3 linked regions of the Drosophila melanogaster genome follow. The protein of the gene in region 1 interacts with the protein of each later gene in a pairwise test. Each region holds a gene or a part of one and is shown in the gene's direction. Other genes may lie near its edges.

Region 1 (7,873 bases):
TGCGGGCACTGCCAAACGGGAGCCAGTGACGGCGATTAAGTCGGGTCCGCCGGAGATGTACTCCATTTCGGACATCACCGAGGAGAGCCACAATGCTAGTCAGCAGAGCGAGCTAAATGTGGGCCACACCATTGATAACTCGGTGTCGGCTCATCCCAATGGGGTCAACTCAACGATCATTTCGTCCGATGTTAATCCCTTATTGGTTTCCGACGACGGCTATGGCGTGGAGCGTCGCAAGCGTCCGGTGGTTATCAAGAGGAGTCCCAACTTTGCGCGCTCCAATCGGATGAACAATGGTGCCGCCAGCGATCTGAATATCAATCAGACTGACCCTAATACGGTCACGAACGGAGTGGAGCCCACAACAAACTTTCGACCCATTTCGCTGCAATTCAGACGGTCTACCTCAGAGAAGGATCTGCAACAGTCCTGGGAAGCGCCCAGTGGTCAGGCGCCGGGTCACCGAAGGGCGCACTCATATGGCGCGCCCAATGCCTACCTCACAAATCCGGTTACGGCCAGCACCCCGCCCGCAGGTGTGCTCTTTCGATCGCCGAGCACCACTTCTCGGGAATCCTATGCCGCGCCCACCTTCACCCGACAGCCCACCATTCTGGTGCGGGCTGAATCACAGCGCCGAAAGAACGAAATCCGGGACTTTATATTGTAAGCGGATTCAAGAAAATCCAAAATTTGAAGAAGCATCTCAATTTCACATCTCTTTCAACAGCACCTTGGACTATCAGGCCTCCAGTCCGGATGAGAAGGCATTGGTGGAGGCGTGCGCCAATTTGGGCATGGTCTACACCGGAGACGATGACGAAACGCTGCGCGTGCGCATCGTCCCGCCCCACATGGACTACAAGCGACCGTTCGCCAAGCCCAGGGAAGAGACCTTCCAGCGCCTCCATGTCCTGGAGTTTACGTCGGATCGCAAGCGCATGAGCGTGATTGTCCGGGATACGGATGGCAAGAAGTGGATCTACACAAAGGGTGCCGAGAGCTATGTCTTTCCACTGTGCGCCAACAGTTCAGCCGAGCTGGTCACAAAGACGGACGCTCATATAAGTGATTTCGCACGACTAGGATTACGTACATTGGCTATTGCCAGGAGGCTAATTAGCGAGGAGGAGTACCAGGACTTCCTTGTGGAGCTGGCACAGGCGAACAGCTCACTTGAGAATCGAAAGCAGCTCAGCGAGGAGTGTTATGCTAAAATTGAAAGCAGTGAGTACTAGTGACATTCCACATAAGTCCATGGTGCCCCACGTTGGGCGCCAACAACTTATGCATTTCTGTTCTTTGCACAGATCTTGATTTGCTCGGTGCAACAGCTGTGGAGGATGCCCTGCAGGACGACGTGGCCGATACGTTGGTATCTCTGCAGGCGGCTGGCATTAAAATCTGGGTGCTAACGGGCGATAAGGTGGAGACAGCCCTGAATATAGCCCTGTCCTGCGGACACATTCCACCCGATGCCAAGAAGTACTTCATTATGGAGTGCAAGAATAGAGAGGAGATGCTCCTGCATCTGAACGCACTTGATCGTGAGATCATCTTCGGTATTGGCCAGGAGTGCGCTCTTCTCATTGACGGCAAGAGCTTGGGCGTGGCCCTGGCAGAGGCCAGCTCGGAGTTCCGGGATGTGGCTGTCAAGTGTACGGCCGTTCTGTGCTGCCGCCTTAGTCCGCTGCAGAAAAGCGAAGTGGTGTCATTGATCAAGTCATCCAATGAGAACTACAACACGGCCTCCATTGGCGATGGCGCCAATGATGTGTCGATGATCCAGGAGGCTCACGTGGGCATCGGCATCATGGGACGCGAGGGCAGGCAGGCGGCACGATGCGCCGATTTTGCCTTCGCCAAGTTTTGCATGCTCAAGAGATTGCTTCTCGTCCATGGACACTATCACAGTGTCCGACTGTCCCTGCTGGTGCTGTACTTCTTCTACAAGAACATCGTCTTTATGGGCATCATGTTCCTGTTCCAGTTTCACACGCTGTTCTCCTCATCCTCCGTCTACGATTCGCTATTCCTTACCTTGTACAATGTGATATACACCTCGCTGCCCATTTTGTTCATAGCTATCTCCGAGAAGCCATACACCGAGGAGAAGTTGATGAGGTAACAGTGGGTTCAATCGTTTATATGTATAATGTTGATGTTACTAAAAATGCAACTTGAACAGAACGCCACAGCTTTACAAGAAGAACACGGACAACAAGCAGCTCCACTGGCCGTACTTCCTGATGTGGGTCCTATTTGCGATCTACCACAGTGTCATCATATTCTACTTCGCCTTCTGCTTCTTCTACTACAACAACGTTCTCCTGAACTACGGACAGACGGTGGCCTTCTCCTGCTTCGGCACCCTCCTCATGTGGACGGTGGTGGTGGTCGTGAACCTTAAGCTCTGGCTCGAGTCAATGTATCTGTCCTTTTGGTATATATTCACCATTATCATTTCCATTTTGGGCTTTGTAGTCACAACGGTTATCTACAACGTTATCAATCTGTGAGTTCATGGCTACGAATGTATCCATTTAAGGTTTAAACTAATATGTATATGTATTATTTGCAGGGACTACGACACCGACATCTACTGGGCCTACAACAATCTGTTGGCCTCACTGCCAGTCTGGCTGTGGATCATAGTGACCTGTGTGGCCTGCCTGGTACCCGACTATACCATCCGAATGCTCCAGAGGGCGCTCAACATAAAGAGTTTCAGCATTTTTCCCGGAAAACAACGGAAACTTAAGATGCGCGAGAAGTTTGAGTCCACATACTTGTAATCGTCGATTAGGCTATAGTTTTTATACCCCTAATTTATTTATTTCCTCATGTATACAATTTTTTTTTTTTTTGTTAGATAAACAAATTTTTGTTAAACGTTTGAACAATAGATTTGATTTCTGACCACCACCTTAGAGGTAGGAAAGTATCTCAACTTCCCAAATGGAGAACCTTGAAATCGTATGCTAACACTCGCAATCAACTGGGAAGTACGACATTTTAGGCTGATAACATTTTTATCATAATCTCGGCGACTTATTGAGAGCAAGTGCAACTACACTTGGAAAAATGGTTCGTTTACGAAAATGCTGGGTTTCAATACAGCTACACGATACAAACATCTAATTAATAAAGGATTTATTTAATATTTTTCCTACATCGGATATTGTTTAAAAATATATACGAAAGTATATAGCCCGTTTTTATCACAGTTTAGCCGTTGCCCCACTTTTGATACCATAAAGTAGGGCGGCGAGTCAGTAAATGTACTTCAATCCCGATCCACATATGTGTACGTAGGGCACCTGTTGGTTCGGCCATACCCACTGCCACGCCCACGATCACTGCCGCCCACCACATTGTTATCTAGTTGATGGCGTCGTTACCATTTGCATTGCCGAGGCAATGGACAAAGTTTTGATTGTGAAGCCCGTTTTTCATTGATAATGTTATCTCCACTCGCATTCCGAATATGTTTGTACAAGGGGAGCTAGAGATATGAACATTTTGCAGGTACATATGTGGCCATATAGTCGCTGGAAGATCTGGTGACGGTTACGATTTTAGTGGATTCTCGGTGGCTGTGTTTTCCTGGTCGTAGTTCGCCAAGTTAGTGGTCAATACGATTCGTTGGTTGCTCTCGCATTTCGAAATAGTGGTAATCGCACCAAATGGCAGTGCTATCAGTTCGAGGTTGTCGTATAGATTCCCATGGACGCCCTAATGCTAACACATGTGCAAAGCTATATCTAAACCATGTCTGTGTGCGCCGCGTATGACTATGCCCAAGGAAATTCTTAATCATTTTTGGCTGAGTTTAGTGTGCATAGGGCGGTGCTCGCAGCGCCAGAGAATTTGCTGATCCAAAGTTTCAATCGAATTTGCTTTCCTTTAATCAATATAATGTCACTGACCAAGTCGTCGTCGAGAAAGGATCTAACCGAGCAGAATCAGTATCAGAATCAGAATGAGAATCAGAATCAGCCCAAATCGACGACCATAGTCAAGTATGAGAAGTCGTCGTGCCTCTTCTGCAACGAATGGTTCGATGCCCAGACATTCACGGTTATAATCGTCCAACTTTTCAGTTCACCTTTGATTACTATTACATTACTCCTCTTTGGATGCGACTGCAGGAACACCTGATCCACTGCGGCCAGGTGCTGGAGGAGTGTCCCAACGGCTGTCAGGCCTTCATTCCACGCATCCGTATGCGATCCCATCTGAAGGAGTGTCCACGCAACCAGCACAATCTGAGCAATCAGCAACGCATGAGTGTCAGCATGGATCGCCTGGATAGGCAGTCGGATCAGCGTCTCCTGGTCATTGAACAGGACGTGGGCACCATTCGGTCCGTTCTCAACGAGGAGATACGACAGCGTTTGCATCTCATTACCGATGTGGGCAACATACGGAAGCAGAACCAGGTCGTCGAGGACTGGACCCGCGAAACCGAGAAGGCAATGGACGATCTGCGTCGCCAGATGGAGGAGGAAACCAATCGGAAGGCATTCGCCATCGAACAGAACCAGCTGGATGTCCAGTACTGCTGTGATATCACACAGGTTAGTTAATGCTACTTTATTTAAATATATATATACTATCTATCTTTAATGTGCATATCTCCGTCGAAGTCCTTGAAAGAGCAAGTGGAGTCCAGGCTGGATGAGGCCCAAAAGCTGGTCAATCAGCTCTCGGCGGACGTGACCTATCACCAGAATCAGCTAAACGACAATATCCTAAAGCTGGAGGAGCTGATCTTTGAGAACGAGCGGCTCAACAGGGAGAAGTTCTTTCAGATCGAGGAGTTTCTGCAGCAGATCAATGAGGACATCAAAACAAAGCTGGGCAACAGTGACTATGTGACGTCAAAGCAGGCCACATTGGACTATGAGGTGAAGAATGTGAAGAACATTGTGTGCGAAACGGAGGAACGTTGCGATAAATTGGATCGAGCACTTCACCAGACCATGCAGAATATATCGGATTTGGAGACCCAAATGGCCATGCAGCAGCGGATTGCCAGTGTCCAGAATATAAGGGGTACATATTGTTGGTTCAATATAGTAATTTAAATATATAATATCTGGTCGTACAGGACACTTGATTTGGCGCATCAAGGATTACTCGAAAAAACTGGAAGAGTCCAAGCAGTACGACACCATCCTCCATAGCGCCATGTTCTCCAATAAAGCCTTTGGCTATGCTCTACGGGTGAGTTGAGGTTGGATCTTGGTTGGATATGCCATTTATATATGTATACCCCATTACTAGCTGGATATATACTTGAATGGCAAGGGCACCTGGAAGGGCAGGAACATGATCGCCTGCTTGAACGTTCTATCCGGAGAGTACGATCCCCTTCTGGCCTGGCCATGCCGCCTTCAGGCCGAGATCATCATCCGGGATCAGTGCACGAATGTGGCAGATGCCGAGGATTATGTGAAGACCATCTTTGTGCGCAAGAAGAGCGATGATTTTATCCAAAGCAACCAGTACTTCCATATACCACACAAGGTAATCACCAGTCGCAACTATCTTCGCAACGATTCCATGTTCATCGAGGTTCGAGTTCTAAAATAAAACCCATGCAGCATCGCTATCCCACCCACCAGGAGCGATAAGAAAAAAAAAATCCAATTGCGGATTGTCACATACATAAAACATAATTTATTCCATTGAGAGCGAACTGGAAGTTAAAAACCCGCTTACAAACACGAGTATGTGTACATATATAGTGTATAAGTGCATACGAATCGATTCATCGTTTCAATATGCGTATATTGTAGTTTTAAATGTCATTGCAGTTTTAAATGCTTTTTTTCAAATTAGGCAATAGTCACATTGAGGCACTGTCGAGACGAAGTCGGTAGTTAGAAAGCATAGCTTTTATTGCAACATTTCCCTGGTCACTTTGTCAAGATATAAGCAACTCTTTCATTTTTTGGTTTTTCATTTCGAGCAAATTAACAAGCGATTTTTGAGAGGAACTTCCATATTATTTGTCTTTACGAACGCATTTAAATACAAAGGTCTTTTAATAAAATACAACTTCAACACTTGTCAACTGTCGGTTCCCATGTTCATTTCTTTGAAAGAGGTATCAAATGTCTGATCCCGTTCAGGTATTATTTGTGTGCACTTATAGTCTACGTTGTGGATCATAATTGTCTGGCTTCGTTGGCGTGTTCTTGTATGTTGTATGCATTTAAATGAACGAATACATAGAAGAGATAATACATATTCGAATAATTGATTTCACGTCGGATTTGGTTTGAATAATACATATATATGTATATGCGGAGATTCTTAAGAGGAGCGCTGTTCACCCACCAGGGCATAAAGGGCGTGCTTGTAGTGGCCCGAAGTATCGCCCTGCAAGTAGGATTTTATATGATTATAGAATATAGATATAGATAGATATATATATCTTACCTTGATCCAGCTCTTGAGGGACTTGCCGTACAGACGTTCGAACGCTACCTTAATGTCCGTCATATCAATCTGAAAAACGTTGCAACATTTTAGGGTTGAATGATATTATATATAGATGTACTTACCTCGCTGCGCGTGATGATCACACGGATCAACTGGGTGTCATTGGTGCCAATTCCGGCCATCGCCTTGTGCAGGCGCGAAGCGAAGTATTCGGCCTTGTTGGTGACGCACCTGTAGATGGCAATCAGGCCCTCCATCACATCGCCGGAGAACTCCTTCTTGATCGCCTTCTCCAGCGAGTGGCCAGTCATGCCCTCGTACTCTTGGAATATCTGCGGTTAGGTATGATTATGTTGGAGTTTCAATTGTACACACAAGTACTCAAGTATCAAGCAGCATACCAGTTTCAATTGCTGATAGTTCCTCTGGCAGAGGATCATGTTGAACATGCTCTCATCGGTGCCGACGCGCAGTTCGCCGGCTTTCAGTAGCTCCCTAGCATCGTTCTTGGCCGCCACGGGATCCACGCGACCACTCTCATCCCGCGCCGCCGTGCACAAGGAGGTAAGCAGCCGCTTAAAGTTGCCCGACGTCTCCGACTTTAGTTCAGACTCCAAATGGGCGCCGTACACTAATATACACGATTGGCAGAAACAAAATCCATATTAGAACAAAGAGAAAAGGCTAAGCCAAATAGATTACGACCTACATCGTAAGTACTGGTTTTTGATCGTATTGATCTCCATGTTGGACAGCGTGCAGAGGATCTCGATGAGGACCTCCTCGTCGGTGCCCAGGCCAGCCATGGCATCGTTTAGCTCGGCGCAGTAGTAGTCCACGATGGGACGCAGCAGGCCGACGAGGAGTTTCTCAAAGTTGCCGCTCGTCTCCGACTTGATGTCCTCGATGAGGTCCTTGCCGAAGTGCGTCTTGAACTGGCGCTGGATCTCCTGGCGCTGCTCGTTGGATCGCCGACAGATGATGTTAATCAGAGCGTCCTCATCTGTTCCAAAGCCCTTCATGGCCTTGCGCAAGTCGTGAGCATCCTTGACGGCATCGAAGTTTGCGGCAGGCACCACCGTGGGAGTTCCCTGAAAAGAACAGTCAAAACAGTCACTGAAAACGAGCTCAGATCTGATGGGCATGATGAACATGTATTGTTTTAGACCCGCCCTGGAACAAATTCGACTGAGGATGGGGAAGTGCGGTTAGTGTGGACGTGAGTCCCCAAATTTGATGACCAACCTCTCTGTGAGCTGGGAGTGACCGATGCGCGTGCCCCTGACCATTCCCATGCCCCTGTCCATGCCCATAGCCCTGCCCATATCCATGCCCATATTCATGTCCTTGCCCATGTCCGTGCCCATGTCCTTGCCCATGTCCATGTCCTTGTCCATGTCCTTGTCCGTTTCCGTAG
Region 2 (7,011 bases), on another chromosome or scaffold:
AATCCGCGACGACGGTGGCCGAGTGAAGCAGAGTTATTCGCTTGATACGAGAGTCCAGATTCGGAGTATCTATCGTCGCCCTGATCCGCCTCACCGTAGCCAGTTTCACAAAAGGAATCCTCGCACACCTGCTCGCTCCACTTCTTTGCCGACGGCCGCGGTTCAAAGGTATCCTGATCCTGGCCGGACGTGTTGGCGCTGCTGCCGTTCTCTGACTGTTGATGCTGAAGCTGCTGTGAGCGGCCATCTTCGGCGAGATCCTGGGGGCCGGAGCCATTATTGTTGACCCCATCCTCTTCGCCATCTTCCACCACCAAGAAGTTGGTGTACATTGTCTCCAGGTCGTGGCCGATATGCTTAAAGTGGCTGTAAAAGAGGTCCAGCACCATCAGTAGCATGGCCTTCACCTTAGCGGTCAGCGCGGGCTGCATGATCAAATGCCGGCGAACGTGGAAGAGCAGTAAATCAATCTCGACCTTATGCCGCTTGCGCATGATCTCCCCATTCAGTGTGATCTGTGACAGCACCAGGCGGGCAATCCGAGTGCCCAGCACCACCGACGTGTCATTGAGCTCGCGGGTAAGCAAGTCCAGCAGGGACTCACCCAAAATGGTGATCGGGGTATTATCCGCCAGCCTTACCCTGTGATAATATTCACCCAGCAGCGTGATCGAGTTGTACAGTCGGTTCTTGTCGTGCAACCGATATGCGTCCGCGTTGAGGAAGTTTGTCTCCAAAATCTTGAGCATGGCGCTGCGCACCTTCGTCTCTTTCATGGCCAGTGCGTCGAAATTTCTCGATGAGAAGAGCAGGGCGAACTTTAGCGCCGTATCACCATCGCTAAGCGCCTTGTCGTTCAGGTACTCCATTGACTCACTGAAAATTGCAAATACAATTAGTTTATTTACTTTTCATTTATTAGTATGTTATAATAATCAAGTCTACTACTACTTCATAATGTTAAAGTTTGCACTACAACTGTGTTTAACACCCCCACTGATATAACGCATAGCAGCATTGTTTGATAAGCCCAAGCTGCGAACTATTTGTTCAGCAATTAACTCGAGCATGAGCCTGAGAGAATCGGAGGGAAAAATGTTCACTTTGAAATGATTCGATGGCGCCGATGTCTCTCTGCCCGTCTTTATTTGTATGAAAAGTTGTAAATTTTCAAGACACGCTGACGTTCGAGCAACCTGGTCGCAAACAACGAACTCGTGCACGAACACATATACACAAATACAGTGCTTTTCAGATTTATAAATCGATTTTTAGACATTTAATAAAATTGAAATGTATATGTAGAAGGTCGCAAAAACTTTTTCGAACCTAAAAATAATGAAGTAAGAAGAAAAGTTTACAAAGTTGCACTTTAAGAACCCAAGGGTTCTTGAACGCGTAAAAACAAATTAACGTTTGAACTTGATTAGTAATTCGGTTTCTGCATTTCAAGCATTTCATTATTGGAATAACTTATAGAATGCTGTAACCTATGGGCGAACGCCACAAGCTCCCAAATTTAACGAATTACTCATGCTACTTGTAATGGAATGTCATAAATATTACAATAAGGATCGGTCTTCGCCAGGCAGATATGTACTGCATGCATTAAGTCTTGTTATCACATGGCTGGCTTTGATGGGCTTGGGAGCTCGCCTTGCCCATATGCTATCGCACCGCACTGTACCTACGCCGGGTATTTACATACATCCATATGTATATGCGAAAAGAGGTGGCAAATAAACACACTACTTATGATATGATTAATCATCAATGAGCGAACCAACCAAACGGTAGAGATCGGCACACATACCAAAGCATAGACTCGTCGCGCACTATGTTGCAGAAGTCCGTTTCGATGGTCTTGATCTTGGAGTTCAGCACAATGCCATCGTCCTGCAGATCAAGGTTCCTCATCAGGGCGATGATGTGGTCGTAGGCATAGCCACCTGTTTGATTTTGATAGGCGGCGGGGCCAGTGTTCAGGATGGTACAAACATCCCGGAGGCGCGCTCCCGTTCCCTCACCACCGCCCCCGCTACCGACACCACTGTGCGAACTGTGACCACTGTCCACCGCACTGTTGTTGTAGCTGTTGTTGCCGTAGGAGGTGGTGTTGCTGCTGCCACCGCCGCCACTGTTGCTGCTGCTGACCATGTTGTTGGCCATTTCCATTTCTCGCCGCGATCACTGCCGTTTGTTGTTGTTATCGCACGGTTGTTTGTCTGTCCCTTCCACACACACTTCAGTGTCTGTTATATTGGTACGCGCGTGTGTGTGAGTCGTCGGTCCACCAAATAAGAATCAGCGTTGACAAAGGTGTCGAAATGCGCACGCCAAATGAAACACCTTTTCGCTCAGCTTCCGCTTTGGGTGCAGGTGCAGTTAGCTCACTGGGACCCACGGTCGATTGAAACGCAAATAACGAACGAAATTAAATGCACAAATTTATAACTATTCCTATTTATTATTGCTATTTGACGACTTTTAAAAGAGGTGGAAAAACATCGATGTGTTGTGTTCTTTAAAACATCGATGTTTCTCCACCTCTAGATAGCATTGTCGCGATATCGAAAGCACACGGTGTGCTTTCGTAAATAGCGCCACAGTGCTCCCGCTGTTATCGATAAGACCACCATGGGGCTAAAGTACGGAGCATAAGTAGCTGGATTTAAGATGGATTGGCAGAATAAAATATGAAATTTATATCCACAGTATATCTTAAGAAGTAGGGTTTAAAAAGTATCCACACATACATATCTTTCTAAAATTTAGGATGAATTTTAGTTTCAGTGGCTGAGTAAGCGTATTTGTAAACATTATTTGTTGTTTCGACTTAAGCCAAGTTAGTTAGCAATTAGTTTGTCGTGGAAATATCTATCAGCTAACAGTTATTGTCTACAATCGATTCTTGACAAATACTGGTGTGGTGAATTCCGCTCATTGGAGCATCGTAAAATCGCCATCAGTCAGCTGTGTTTCGTTGGGCGCGCAAACTGTTCGGCGTGCGTTTATTTGTTGTTCTTTTGTAATAACTATTTTTATGTAGTTATTTGTGCCAAAAATGTTGAACTTAAACTGCGTGATATGCGCCGAATTGTTTGGCCAGGCCGACGAGGTTTTTGCCACAGTTTGTGGTCATATGTTCCACCACAACTGTCTAAATCAATGGCTCGATCGGTAAACAACGCATAAGGATATTTCTGATTCCCGACAATAAAATCAAATATCTTTCGCAGATCAAAGACCTGTCCTCAGTGCCGGAATAAGTGCACTACCCGCAACATATTTAGGGTCTATTTCAATCTGGCCAACTTGGATGTGAGCCACATCGATGTTGGTTCACTGCAGGAGCAGCTGGACAATGCGATGTTGTCCATGAAAATGGTCGAAAAAGAGCGCAACAAGGATGAACAGCAGATTCGGGATCTGAAGGAAACACAAAAGAAGTGCCTGTATGCTTTTGTATACACATTGCCTTAAGTACCAGACTGATGCATTTCTCATTTGCAGCAAAACCATAGCCGGTTTGGAGCAGAAGGTGCAAAAGAAGGATTTTCTCATCAGCAGCTATGTCGAGCAAATTGGCGTCCTCAAGAGTGATGCCCATGTCGTTGATGGGTTGCGCAAGGAAAACAAAACATTGAAATCACAGATCCAGAGTATGGAAGGCATATCGGCTATTCTGGCGGCTGGCTCGGCGGATGCCGACCGCTTGCTCAAGAACGAGGCTGATCCACATGTCCTAGCCAACTGGGTGTCCACTCTCAAGAGGGAGTTGCGACAATGCGAGAGCAAAAAGACGGAGCTCAGGAATGTAGTGAAGGTGGTGCAGAATGATCTGCGAAAGGAGATCGAACTAAAGCGGTATGCTCACAACATTCCAAACGTGGTTTTTATAATTGATATGTGCTCATTCGATTGCAGCAAGCTGGAAGAGCGTGTTTCACACCTGGAGAGCGACCTTTACCAGGCGCAGGAGAAGGTTTGCTGAGCCTTCTTTAACACAATTTCGATTAAACATACTATTATCTTTTCAGCTACAAGCTTTTGAGAACAAGACCGCTTACTTGGACTCACCAAATGCCTCTTGTGGTCTGAACAGCAACATTTTGGCCCTTAAAAGGGAGGAAAGGCGTACCACTATTTCCCCTACAGTTGTGAGTAGACACGAATAAACGAAAATATAAGCTACTAATATTTTGCTGCCCTACAGAAGGAGAATATTAAGCGCATCGAAGAATCCACCTCCCCATATCTCAACATTAAATCCAGCAGCGTCGGGTTGGCGCATCTTCTTAATACTAAGGGTAACATTGGGCTGGCCAAGTCTAAAATATCGCCCATCAAGGGAGTCGGTGGCGGTGTGTCTATGACCAGCGGAACCATACGGAAAACCAGCAGTGATCTCAGTGAAAAGGTAAACGCAATAATTTTGCCGAATTCCACTTAACCATTTAAAAATTCCGTATATTCCCCCAGTATTCAATCTTCAAGAAGCCAAGACTGCTGCTGGGAAGTTCAAGTAGTTCTGCGTTGACGGCCACGACGGGCTCAAATTTTGTCTACAATGGAATGGGCGGTTCTGAGAAGGTTGACCCCTTTGCGCAGCGCGCCGAGGAAGAGGGTCTTTCCACAATCAGATCCTCGACCGCCCTTTCCCGGAATGTCAACCAGCGTCTTAAAGCCGGCTCGCTGCGCAACTTTAACCTGGGCAAATAAGTCCACAGCCATGTGATCATAAGAGACTGCCCCAGTTGGGTATTAGCACGCGATTGGTATTGAGGATTGCCGATTTTGTTAGTTAGCCAATGCATGAATTAAGCAATAGTAATAATTTAGCAGTAAATATATAAAAATACAAAAGGCATATGTGTGTGCGATTAGGCGGCAATTTTTTTCTCCGCCGTGCCCGTCCATTCCTCGCGCAAGTGGACACTACAGCCGAGGTCGCGCAACGCCGCCTTGATGTCCTGCTCCACACTGGGGTGCTCCTTCATTGCCATATTTAGTAGATCCTCAACGCCGAAGGAGATCCAGGTTTCACACTGGTTCCGCGACCGTGACACCATATTGCGGATGGCCCACGCTCCGTTTCGCTGGACTATCTTGTGTTTGGGATGGGCGCGAAGAGCCTCCACGATTACTTCGGCGATGCCGGTATCGAAAAAGGCGGCACTGTGTTCCTGCACTCGGAGTGTCAGAGTAGTCACGCAGGCCAAAGCGGCGGCAACGATGTTTTCATTGGACTGGTGCGTCTCTAGCAATTGCTTTATTATAGGAGCCACGCCCTGCTGTACTATATGTGACTTCACGGAGTCTTGGCCAGCCAGGGCACGTAGCAACTTTAAGGCCTCTCTATTTAGACGCACCTCATCCAAATTCGAACTCATGATCTCGAAGACGGACTTCAGTCCACCAGCCTCGTCGATAGCTGTACAGAGTTCCTGACGCACAGCCAGTGTTCCAATGGTCAGCAGAAGATCAGCCAGAACATTAGGATCCTGATAGGCCGGCAAAAGTTCCACCAAGGTGATGAGCACCTCGCCTGCTATTTGGCGGGCGTGCTCGTGGGCGCATCCAAACTCAACGCGAATGTCATCATCCAGCACTAGGAAGCGGAAGACGGCGGTCAGTTCACGCACCAGGCGGTCCTTCCCTTTCCCTAAAAGGGGCTTCATGAGTTTGAGTGCGGAGGTATTCATGATATTCTGGCGGTTCATTTCATGCATGATGCAGGCCTTCTGCAGCCATTGAAGAGTCAACAGGGTGACTTCTTCACTCTCCACTTTGAGGGCCAGTAACTTGAGAACCACGGCCATCGCCTCGGCATCAAACAGATCCGGCTGCTTGTGGGTCAGGCTGTTGATGGCTTCCAAGGACTTTTTTAACACGGATTCGTTGGGTGACTCAGCAGAGAGCGTCTCCTCCAACAGGGTGATCAGGGCATCGTGGGCTCCATTTTTGCCGGCTAGAACCCTATGGGCTAGCGACTTTTTGCACTCAGCATCCAAGGTGGCCAGCTGTTCCAGCAGCTCCGTTGTTTCCTCCAGTTTTTGGCCAATGTGCTCCTTGATCTTGTCCACCGTTTCGTTGATGACAGGTTGGCCGGTTTGCGGATTGACGGACAGGTCCTTGATAATGTTGGCCAGGTTGATGCCCTGCAATCATTTCATTAAAGTGAATCTACTGGATGACTATGTCGACATTACTTACCTGTGCCTCGAATTGCTTGATGGTCTCTTCTTTCGCCTCCGAAGGAGTCATCGAGAACTCCACAACGTTCTCCTTCACAACATCGTCGAAGGTGTCCTGCGATATAACCTTGGCCATGGCAGTGATTCGTCCAATTTTGGCTATGCCCTCAGCAGCTGCAGCTTTAACTTTTCAAATTTTACTTTGTTCTCTCTGTAACTTCCCACACACACACACACGCCCACACGCAGGCACACAGGCACAGTTCGAATTTAGTGGCTGCGGTCACACTATCGCACTTCGCAGGGCGGTCATACTTCCAGCTGATTTACATTCGATACATATCGTTGTACGGTTTAATAAAACTCACCATTGAACACTCAAAAAAATTGTTGTATTAATACTAACACCGAATTTGATAAAAAATAAATTATAACCTTATTTTATAACTAAAGAAGTGAAAGAAAAGATTTTAGGTTTCTTTATATATGTCCCATCACTGTGGTTGGAAAACGAATGGTAACAATGTATTTCTCGCATATTTTTTATTAACATAAGTCTGTATTTTGGCCGCATGCTTGTGATTTGCACTGTGTATTACATGTAAAAAGACGATTGGCCATTGAAGCGTTTAAAGTTGTTGTACACGATGCATCAGTTGCACTTCCACTTTTTTTCAAGGAAGTGATTTAATTATTATATTTTGAAGCGAATTTAAAATTAAGACGAATTTTATGTTGTATATTTTATCTACACTTGGTGCACCGTGTAACTTCAACTTTTTGATAGAAAGGAAAGATACTTAGATATTTAAAT
Region 3 (7,738 bases), on another chromosome or scaffold:
GGAGTCGGGCTAAGCCGAGCGAAACCATCCAAAATCCCGGTGCGAGCTAAAGCATTTGACCACAGTCCTCAGTCCGCCATCCTCCATCCATCAGAATGGAACCCACTCTATATGGTATATATGGCATATGAGCGCATTCCCTGGCCCGCCGACGGAAATAGCAACATATGACGAGATCTGAAGTTGACGTGATACCACGGCAAGTTGCCGGAAAATTCAGCAGAGTAGAGCATCAGGGTATGAGGGGCTATGACCAAGTGGGGGTGTTAAATTGCAGTAATCGGCTCTTGGGCTGGGCGACAACGTTTATGTTTTATGTGCTCATTTATAATGCGCACTGCTCATTTGGTAATGGCACAATAATGACTGTCAGACTGCTTAAAAGGCTGCCCAGGATTGCGTGGAAACGCCGACATCTGCTCGGCATTTGACTTAGCCAACAAGCCGTGGCAATCCCAATTCGAATGATTATTCCCCGGTCCCAATAAATCTCCGATCCATGGGCAATCCGCGATGACAGCTGCCCCGCTTCCAATGAGGCCTCGTGTAATTTTAGGCGCCACTCTCCAGGGGTCAGGAGCAACTCAACTGGCGGGCAGGGGTAGTAAATACAATCCAATCGCAGGTTAGAAATGAGCGAATCTTGGCTAAAACGAACACAGAAACAAACTCAATCCGACCACGACTTCGATGTGACGGGGCCAGATAGACAGTCGGCATTAGTGGGCACACTCGAAAAAAAAACGGAGGTACTCGTAAAATCACATAAAACTAAGTCAATGAAGGGATGATTTCAGTTCACCTCGTTTTCTTTAGACTCTTAACAGTTTTTAAGAAATTAAAAAAATATTTGTGCTTCTATTTTCTTTACCTATTAATTTCAGTGACTTAAACTAAATCCTTCGAGTGTATCTGCCGGTTGGTAAAAAAAAAGTCATAAAGTCGAGCGAGCCCAGTGCCATTCTTATGCCCATTCCCCAATCCCAATCCTATTTCCAATCCACAGCCATTCCCATTCCCACTCCCGTTGCCATTTCCCAATTGCCAATTATGCCGCAGCAGCAGCCCATTCCATCTTATAGCCATCCCATACCATTCCATCCTATAGTTGCCCCATCCGCCAGACAAGACAAACGCTGCAAGTTGCAAGTTGCAACTATCGAGGATCGTTCGCCGTCGATCGCTGTCTGCATTCAACACTGACGCCAACCGGTGTACAAAAAAGTAGAAAAAAAAAAGCCAAGAAGTGGATATTGAGGGGGGTGATGAAAAGTATCTGAGGGATACACCAGTCAGTATGCGCAGCTACAAGATGGCTGCTGCCAATCCTCGCCCGCACCAATGCCAAACTGCCTAGCATCCTGATCAGAGACGTTCTCTGGTCGTGCCCAAATGGCATTCGATGGGAAAAAGAGTGCCTCCGGATGAAGATACAGATACAGATACTTACTCGCACTTCATATGGCACATAATTCCATTTGCAACGCTTATCAGGCGCCACTTTGCCACGCAATCGGTGACAATTGCATAATCCGGCTGCAAATGCCGAACATTGCTCTAATCGCATTGAGTAGTCACTTCTCGCCTGTGTTCGCCAATTGGAATGTCTTTAGTTGGGAGTTTTGAGTTGGGAGTTGCTGGTAGTAGGAAAAGCTTTTAGTTAATTAATGTCCTCCAAGGAGCACTCGCAACTTCATCGCATTGAAATGTCGGGTTTTCAAGCATGGACTAATTATAGTTTATGTGAAATCATTACTACTATCTTAGTTTTGAATATGGATACAAAACATAGATATATACAAATAAAAAGTAATACGAGTAATATGAAACATTGTAGATAATATGATAATATGATTTAACTAAATAATATGCGTTATTAACATAAATTCATATGAACTCGATTCGCATTGTATAAAAATCCATCGAAATTTGAATGATAGTAAAGAAATACATAATCTTTTAATAAATTCCGAACTGAATTCCCTTTTACCTCAATCTTTATTTATTTGCATAAATATTTTTTAGTAGCATTTATTGTGTTTTAGCAAATTAGCAAGCAAATACCTTAAACAAACATGAGTTATATACTCTCGCTCGTGGCGAAACTCGACTTAATATGGAACCCCAAATAAAATGATAAATAAGGGTAATTTATTTGGGCACATTTATGAGGCGAGCAGGCTGCCAAAGATACATTTAGCCATTTAACCAACGGATAACGAATCCAAAGAGTGCGGGCATACAAATTAGTGCGCATCTGCGCCATCGAGGCATTCTGGAATTGAATCCTGTGACGGTGGTGGGAGGGGGCGGGTTTCGGAAAGGGAAGGAAAGGATATCCAGAGTACAACACGTCTTGACATTTGCATCTTGAAATGCAAGTGAAAGATACAATCCCAATCTGTGTATCCAGATGCGCCATTGTCACTGTCATCGGCTGTGGCTTCCTTTCGGCTAGAACTCTGCTCTGCGGATGATAAATGACGTCGATTCAACAAATTGGCCCACACATACATGGCCCAAAACCCGAACCCAGCCTCCCAGCCAAACCATTTTGGCCAATTGAGATGGAAATCAACTCGTTTTGTGCCCCACATACACGTACTGCATAGTTAACTCCCCGATTTCGATGGGGGATTGGGGCTACCTACTCCGCTCGATCCGCCCCTGAATTTACATTTGGCTGTGTCTCAGGAATTAATTCGGAACTGTTTTAATAATTCTTTGCATGCGGAAGATACTTCGAGCCAGATGGATTCAACTGAAGTTAAATTTTATGCAAATTAACTACCACTGTCTGATTTACAAGTTCGCATGCCGAAGGGAATTCAACATTGATTACGAGCCTTTCGTTTACCTTTTCGTACTTGGTTTAAAAACATTTATCATAATATTTGGCACACCAAAGCAAACTCATTGGTTTAAATTATATTACTCATTTCGAAAAAGTGTTTTTTAACTCACCTACGGCTACGGCTTGAAAATGTTTTAGAAGAAATAAAAAAGTATTTCGCGGGCATAAATTGTCCCAATTTCTTTTTTTAACTTTTTTATTTTTATCATTTTTATTTTATCATATATATTTATATGAATCACTTCATATATGGTGAGATTAAATGAGATTTGCATGCTGAACGGTATCGAAAGTAATTGTTATTTACCTAAATCAAGTAAAAGTGTTTAATCAATAGTTTTTATTATGTAATTTGAAGTGCGAAAAGTATATATTTGTTTCCTTGCTTTAATGTATTGTTTTTAAAATTATTAAAACTCGAAAAATCATTCCATGTTATGAGTTACACGCCAACCAGCCTTCTGTCAGCTAGCGAAATCAGCGAGCTTTTTTCCGCGAAGCATGAGGGCTGCAACATTCGCAGTGTGCACAGTGCCCTGGTCAAATGTTTTTGTTTGTTGTGTTTATTTTTTACTTATTTCGCGTTTAAAAGTGTTTTAAAGTGAGATTTAAAGTGCAATGGAGCTACCGAAGGAGTTATCCGTTGCGGAGATCCGTAATTACATGTTGGCAAACGAGTGCAAGGTGACAAATCACGCCTTGGTGAAGCACTTCAAGAAATTCCTAACTCACCCGCAGTCGCAAAGTGAGTCATTTGTGTTTGTCTTTCGAATTTGGGATTTGGGACCTGTTGAATGGCCAAGAAAACCCATATTGACTTGGTTTTCACATGGATGTTCCCAATGATTAATTGCAGATGAGGCTCGCAAGCGATTCAAGACCTATGTCACACTGCTGTCCACCATCAAGAACGAGAACAATCAGAAGTTTTTGATATTGCGCAAGAAATACGTAAACGAATGCCCCACGGATGAGGTTGTGGAGCGCGCGGTGGCCGCCGCATCTGGTATTCCGGAGCCCTCAAGTCCCGGCGGCGCATCTCTTAACTTTGACTCGCCCATGAGGCAGCCACCGCCATATAAACCGCCGCCCATGGTCACCTCTCCGCCAGCCGTTTCCATTGCCAAGGAGCACCAGGAGAATTACCAGGAGTGCGTGGACGAATTCACGGCTGCCATAAAGCGCATTGAGCCAGCACGCTTGGAGAGGCGAACGTCGGTCAAGTCCGAGGATCTGGATCAGCAGGAGAAGCCGGAGAAAACGTCTCGATCGAATTCCATCGATGTGATCGACAACAAGGAGAACATACCACGTTTCTCCTTCTCCTCGGAGGCCTCCTCGGCGTCCAGCACTTCCATTGAAAAGCCGGAGATGGCTGATCCCACAGCTCCCGCCGCCGTAGGCGATGTGGCCGAGAATCCCATCAGCGTGAAGGAGGCCACGCGCAAATTTAATCGGATGGCGTCTGAAGAAGAGGCTAAAATCATATCGCCGCCAGCTAAGAAGAAGCCAGAGAAGGTGAGTGCCACAGAACCGGTTAAGCCAGGGCATTAGCCATCATGCGGGCTCGGCTCGGGTGCGGGTGTCTTTCGGGCCCTTCCCTCCCAGCTTTGTTCCAATGCGTTCCATTTCCTGTGCGTCAGTGGGAAGATTCGCTACAAGACAATTCAAATATGCGACGTTTTTTGCACGGCTTAGTTGTGATTAATTATCACAGAGCTATGAAGGTTTTTATATGAGCTGTCCACTGTGGCAAAAATATCTGAAGACGTTGTTCCACTTAACCAGCTGCTTTTTTCAATCCATCATAGACTACACACTGTAATCAACTTTGTTGAATCATATTTGTTAATGTTCTATAATCTCACTCACGCCTTTGTTTAAACTAAAGAGGAACGATTTCTATTATTTACATCGAATTCTTCGTTTAGTGATAAGGATGACCTTCATAATTTCATATATATCTGGCAACTTAAAGTAGTTCTTAGCGTATATACACTGTATAATGGGATTAAAAAAAAAATATTTGCTTTCCCATCACTGTATATGACAAAGAAACAGGCTGATATTCCGCTACAAATCAGGGTCAGATTAGATCTGCTGGCCCTGGAAACCCCGAGCAATTATTGTCAATGCATCAGTGGCTGTCCCAGGCTTTGGGCCACCTCAAGTGGAACTGCTGGCGGAATGCTAGATGGCCAGAATGTCAGAGTGGCAGAGTGGCTGGCTCAAACTAAGCCGGTCGGTTGGTCGGTCACCCAACTGTCTGTCAGTTCCCAGAGCCATGTCACGAATTGCCACCAGCACAGGCCGAATTGAATAAATCCATTAATTTTATTAGTGGACAATATAAATGTAAGTCTCATAAAACTACATACATGCGCCTGCATCGTTCCGTTCGCCTTCCTGTCCACTTTTTCTGTCCCGGCTTTGTCGCCGCCGCGCATTCAAGAGCTGGTGAGCTGGAGAACTGGCGAACTGGTGAGCTGGTGAGCTGGAGAACTGGCGAGCTGATGCCCGACATGTGTACGTACATGTGCGGACACATGTACTCCGATTCCGAATTCGATTCCCGCCCGAGTGCGATGTGTTTAGTAACTTTGTTCCATCAACTGGCCATGACGACACTTTGCAAGCTGTTCAGCAAACCCACCCCCCTCCCTTCACACCCCTCGCATTTTCATTTCTTTATTTTCTTGATGCCCCAAAAGCCTATTATGTGTACAAGCACATCGTAGGACATGCCAAGTATGAGTTACGTGAGAAATTTTGCGGCCAGCAAATGGTATGCAAACACTCAGAAAAATCTGGAATCAGATGAAATTTTTGATAGTACATCTAAGTAGTTAAATTGAAATTGAAACTTGAAAACTGAGGAATTTAGCTGTTTCTCATAAAAACCGAACCATTTCCACATCCTATGACTATAATTGATGTAAATTGGAAATGGAAACCTTTAGCACTTCAACAAAATCAACTCGAAATACACATACATACATATAATTTGTAGCGTGTCCATTTCGAGATTCTAATTTAGAAAAAATATCAATCTCGGGGTGAGCATGTGGCAGTGGAATTTGTCAAGCGTTACGGAAAAATCGTTCCTTAGTTAATGTTACAAGCTATAGTAGTGCAATTGGGCCGAGTTGTCAAACAACTGTCATCCACTTAGGCCCGTCAATCACGCAATTTAGAGTTGAAAACGAATATCCCCAGTGCATAAATCATCGGAGTCTGTCTGCGAGACGGATGGTCCCATCCGCATCCGTATCCCATTCCATTCCAATCTATTGTATCATGTTTAGAGCAAGATGCTCCGCAGCAGTGGATGTACATCAAAGTGGGATTGTCAACGGCACGTCAGATGCTATAAAATCCCACTAAAACATCGGGAAGCGAACTTAAGTGCCTATTTGTACAGACACTCGGACATGGTAGAATCAAACTAGTCCTTATATCGGAAATCTGTTTCAAAGCATCACTGCCGCAACTTTGAATTTCTCACGTATTTCATGTTTCCGGATTTACGCAGACAAATTAAAAATATCAATATAAAGTCGAAATTAAATGGAGGCTATGGGGAAATTCTCGCTAACAAGGCTTAAACATTAAAATAACCAGCGTTGTCTAAATTTCGTTGAATGAATTTACTATTACTTATCATCGAAATTATATTCATTCATTTGAATGAATGAATTCACTTGAATTTCGCTCATCTTTTCGCCAGTCATTACTAATTTGTCTGCAACATGAGTAGAGTTTAAAACGAAGGGCTATCATTCACTATCATATCGTACAGATCGGGTTGATAGCTCCCATTTGATGCACTGAGAATAAAGAAAGTATCTGTGGCGTTATAAGCGCTTACATCTTGTTAACAAATTGATTCGCTAACAAGACACACCGTCATTTTTGATGGCGCCAACCGTCTTCACGCAATTATTAAAATTCAGTTGTAAACAATATTGAGATAGGTTTTGATGGATGCCCCTTTTTTTTCCTGTTATTCATCAGAGAAAATAACTAATCATCGCTAGACGAAAAGAAAGTGGCTCATCATCTTCACAAGGAGTTTCGAAGGCGGCATTCTAGTTCATGGGATTCATGGGATCGAAAAAAAAACTGGGGAGCAAGTGAAGTGGATTCATCATGGTGTACCGTGAAATTTTTGGCGTTGCAACCGTAACTATGGAATCTGTATCCATCCCCAGCTAGCTGATCAATTAAATTCGTTTCGATCGTTTTTAATTAGCCCGATGATTTTGCATTTTGTACGCTCACTCAGCACCGTTGTGAGTTGATTAATTTACGCCCCAAAATAACAAGCTGATTTAAAATGGGATTTTTTTTTCGTTAAATAACTAATATTGATAGAAGTATCATAGCTTGGGATTTTTTTTTTTCTTTTTGATTGATGAAATTTTCGAAGGTTAACGGGAAACTACATAAATTTTTCGGTTCAAGAGCAAAGTTATCATGAATTCCAGCTAAACCTTCATATCTAAAAGTAAAAGTTAACAACACGATGTTAACTGAAGTAGCGATGTTGGAAATTCAAAGAATTGCCAAAATATATTTTTAACTTAAGATTGCCTCGGTTTGTCTGGCAAGAGTTGAAAAAAGCGAATATTACAATTTTTAACAAATCAAACAATCACCTAAGGGAAAGTATCTTTCATAAAATAGTAATTAAGATGCTAAAGCTTTCAACTATCAAACAAAAACTAATGAAAACTCAGTCCGTTGTTTTGTGAATCTAATTTAAAACCCCTGGCAGCGCAAATATGGCCCCAAAGCAAAGTTCCTGCCCAAAAGTCCGCATGCAGCATCAAACAGACCGCATATATATTCTTATTAAAAATAGGAGGCCACCTTCGTAGTCCC

The links.
Region 2: the proteins of Traf-like (region 1) and nopo interact in a two-hybrid assay, tested with the Drosophila melanogaster proteins (2 studies listed by BioGRID).
Region 3: the proteins of Traf-like (region 1) and sowah interact in a two-hybrid assay, tested with the Drosophila melanogaster proteins (2 studies listed by BioGRID).

Annotation. Positions count from the first base shown.
Region 1 is NC_004354.4:16,411,503-16,419,375, forward strand, and holds Traf-like (TNF-receptor-associated factor-like), read left to right. Parts: upstream 1-3,543; 5' UTR 3,544-3,921; coding exon 3,922-4,083; coding exon of another isoform or gene 4,084-4,154; coding exon 4,155-4,583; intron 4,584-4,652; coding exon 4,653-5,061; intron 5,062-5,116; coding exon 5,117-5,232; intron 5,233-5,292; coding exon 5,293-5,601; 3' UTR 5,602-6,083; downstream 6,084-7,873. Other genes in the region: CG4301 (uncharacterized protein), read left to right, coding at 1-669, 734-1,230, 1,314-2,127, 2,192-2,518, 2,585-2,798; AnxB11 (annexin B11), read right to left, coding at 6,328-6,393, 6,454-6,522, 6,579-6,788, 6,858-7,087, 7,166-7,547, 7,702-7,873.
Region 2 is NT_033778.4:18,177,658-18,184,668, forward strand, and holds nopo (no poles), read left to right. Parts: upstream 1-2,959; 5' UTR 2,960-3,064; coding exon 3,065-3,180; intron 3,181-3,239; coding exon 3,240-3,455; intron 3,456-3,513; coding exon 3,514-3,867; intron 3,868-3,927; coding exon 3,928-3,985; intron 3,986-4,040; coding exon 4,041-4,160; intron 4,161-4,216; coding exon 4,217-4,420; intron 4,421-4,482; coding exon 4,483-4,722; 3' UTR 4,723-4,862; downstream 4,863-7,011. Other genes in the region: CG5726 (uncharacterized protein), read right to left, coding at 1-876, 1,814-2,175; CG5721 (uncharacterized protein), read right to left, coding at 4,884-6,161, 6,217-6,333.
Region 3 is NT_037436.4:12,568,173-12,575,910, reverse strand, and holds the start of sowah (sosondowah), read left to right. Parts: upstream 1-3,368; 5' UTR 3,369-3,472; coding exon 3,473-3,599; intron 3,600-3,710; coding exon 3,711-4,372; intron 4,373-7,738.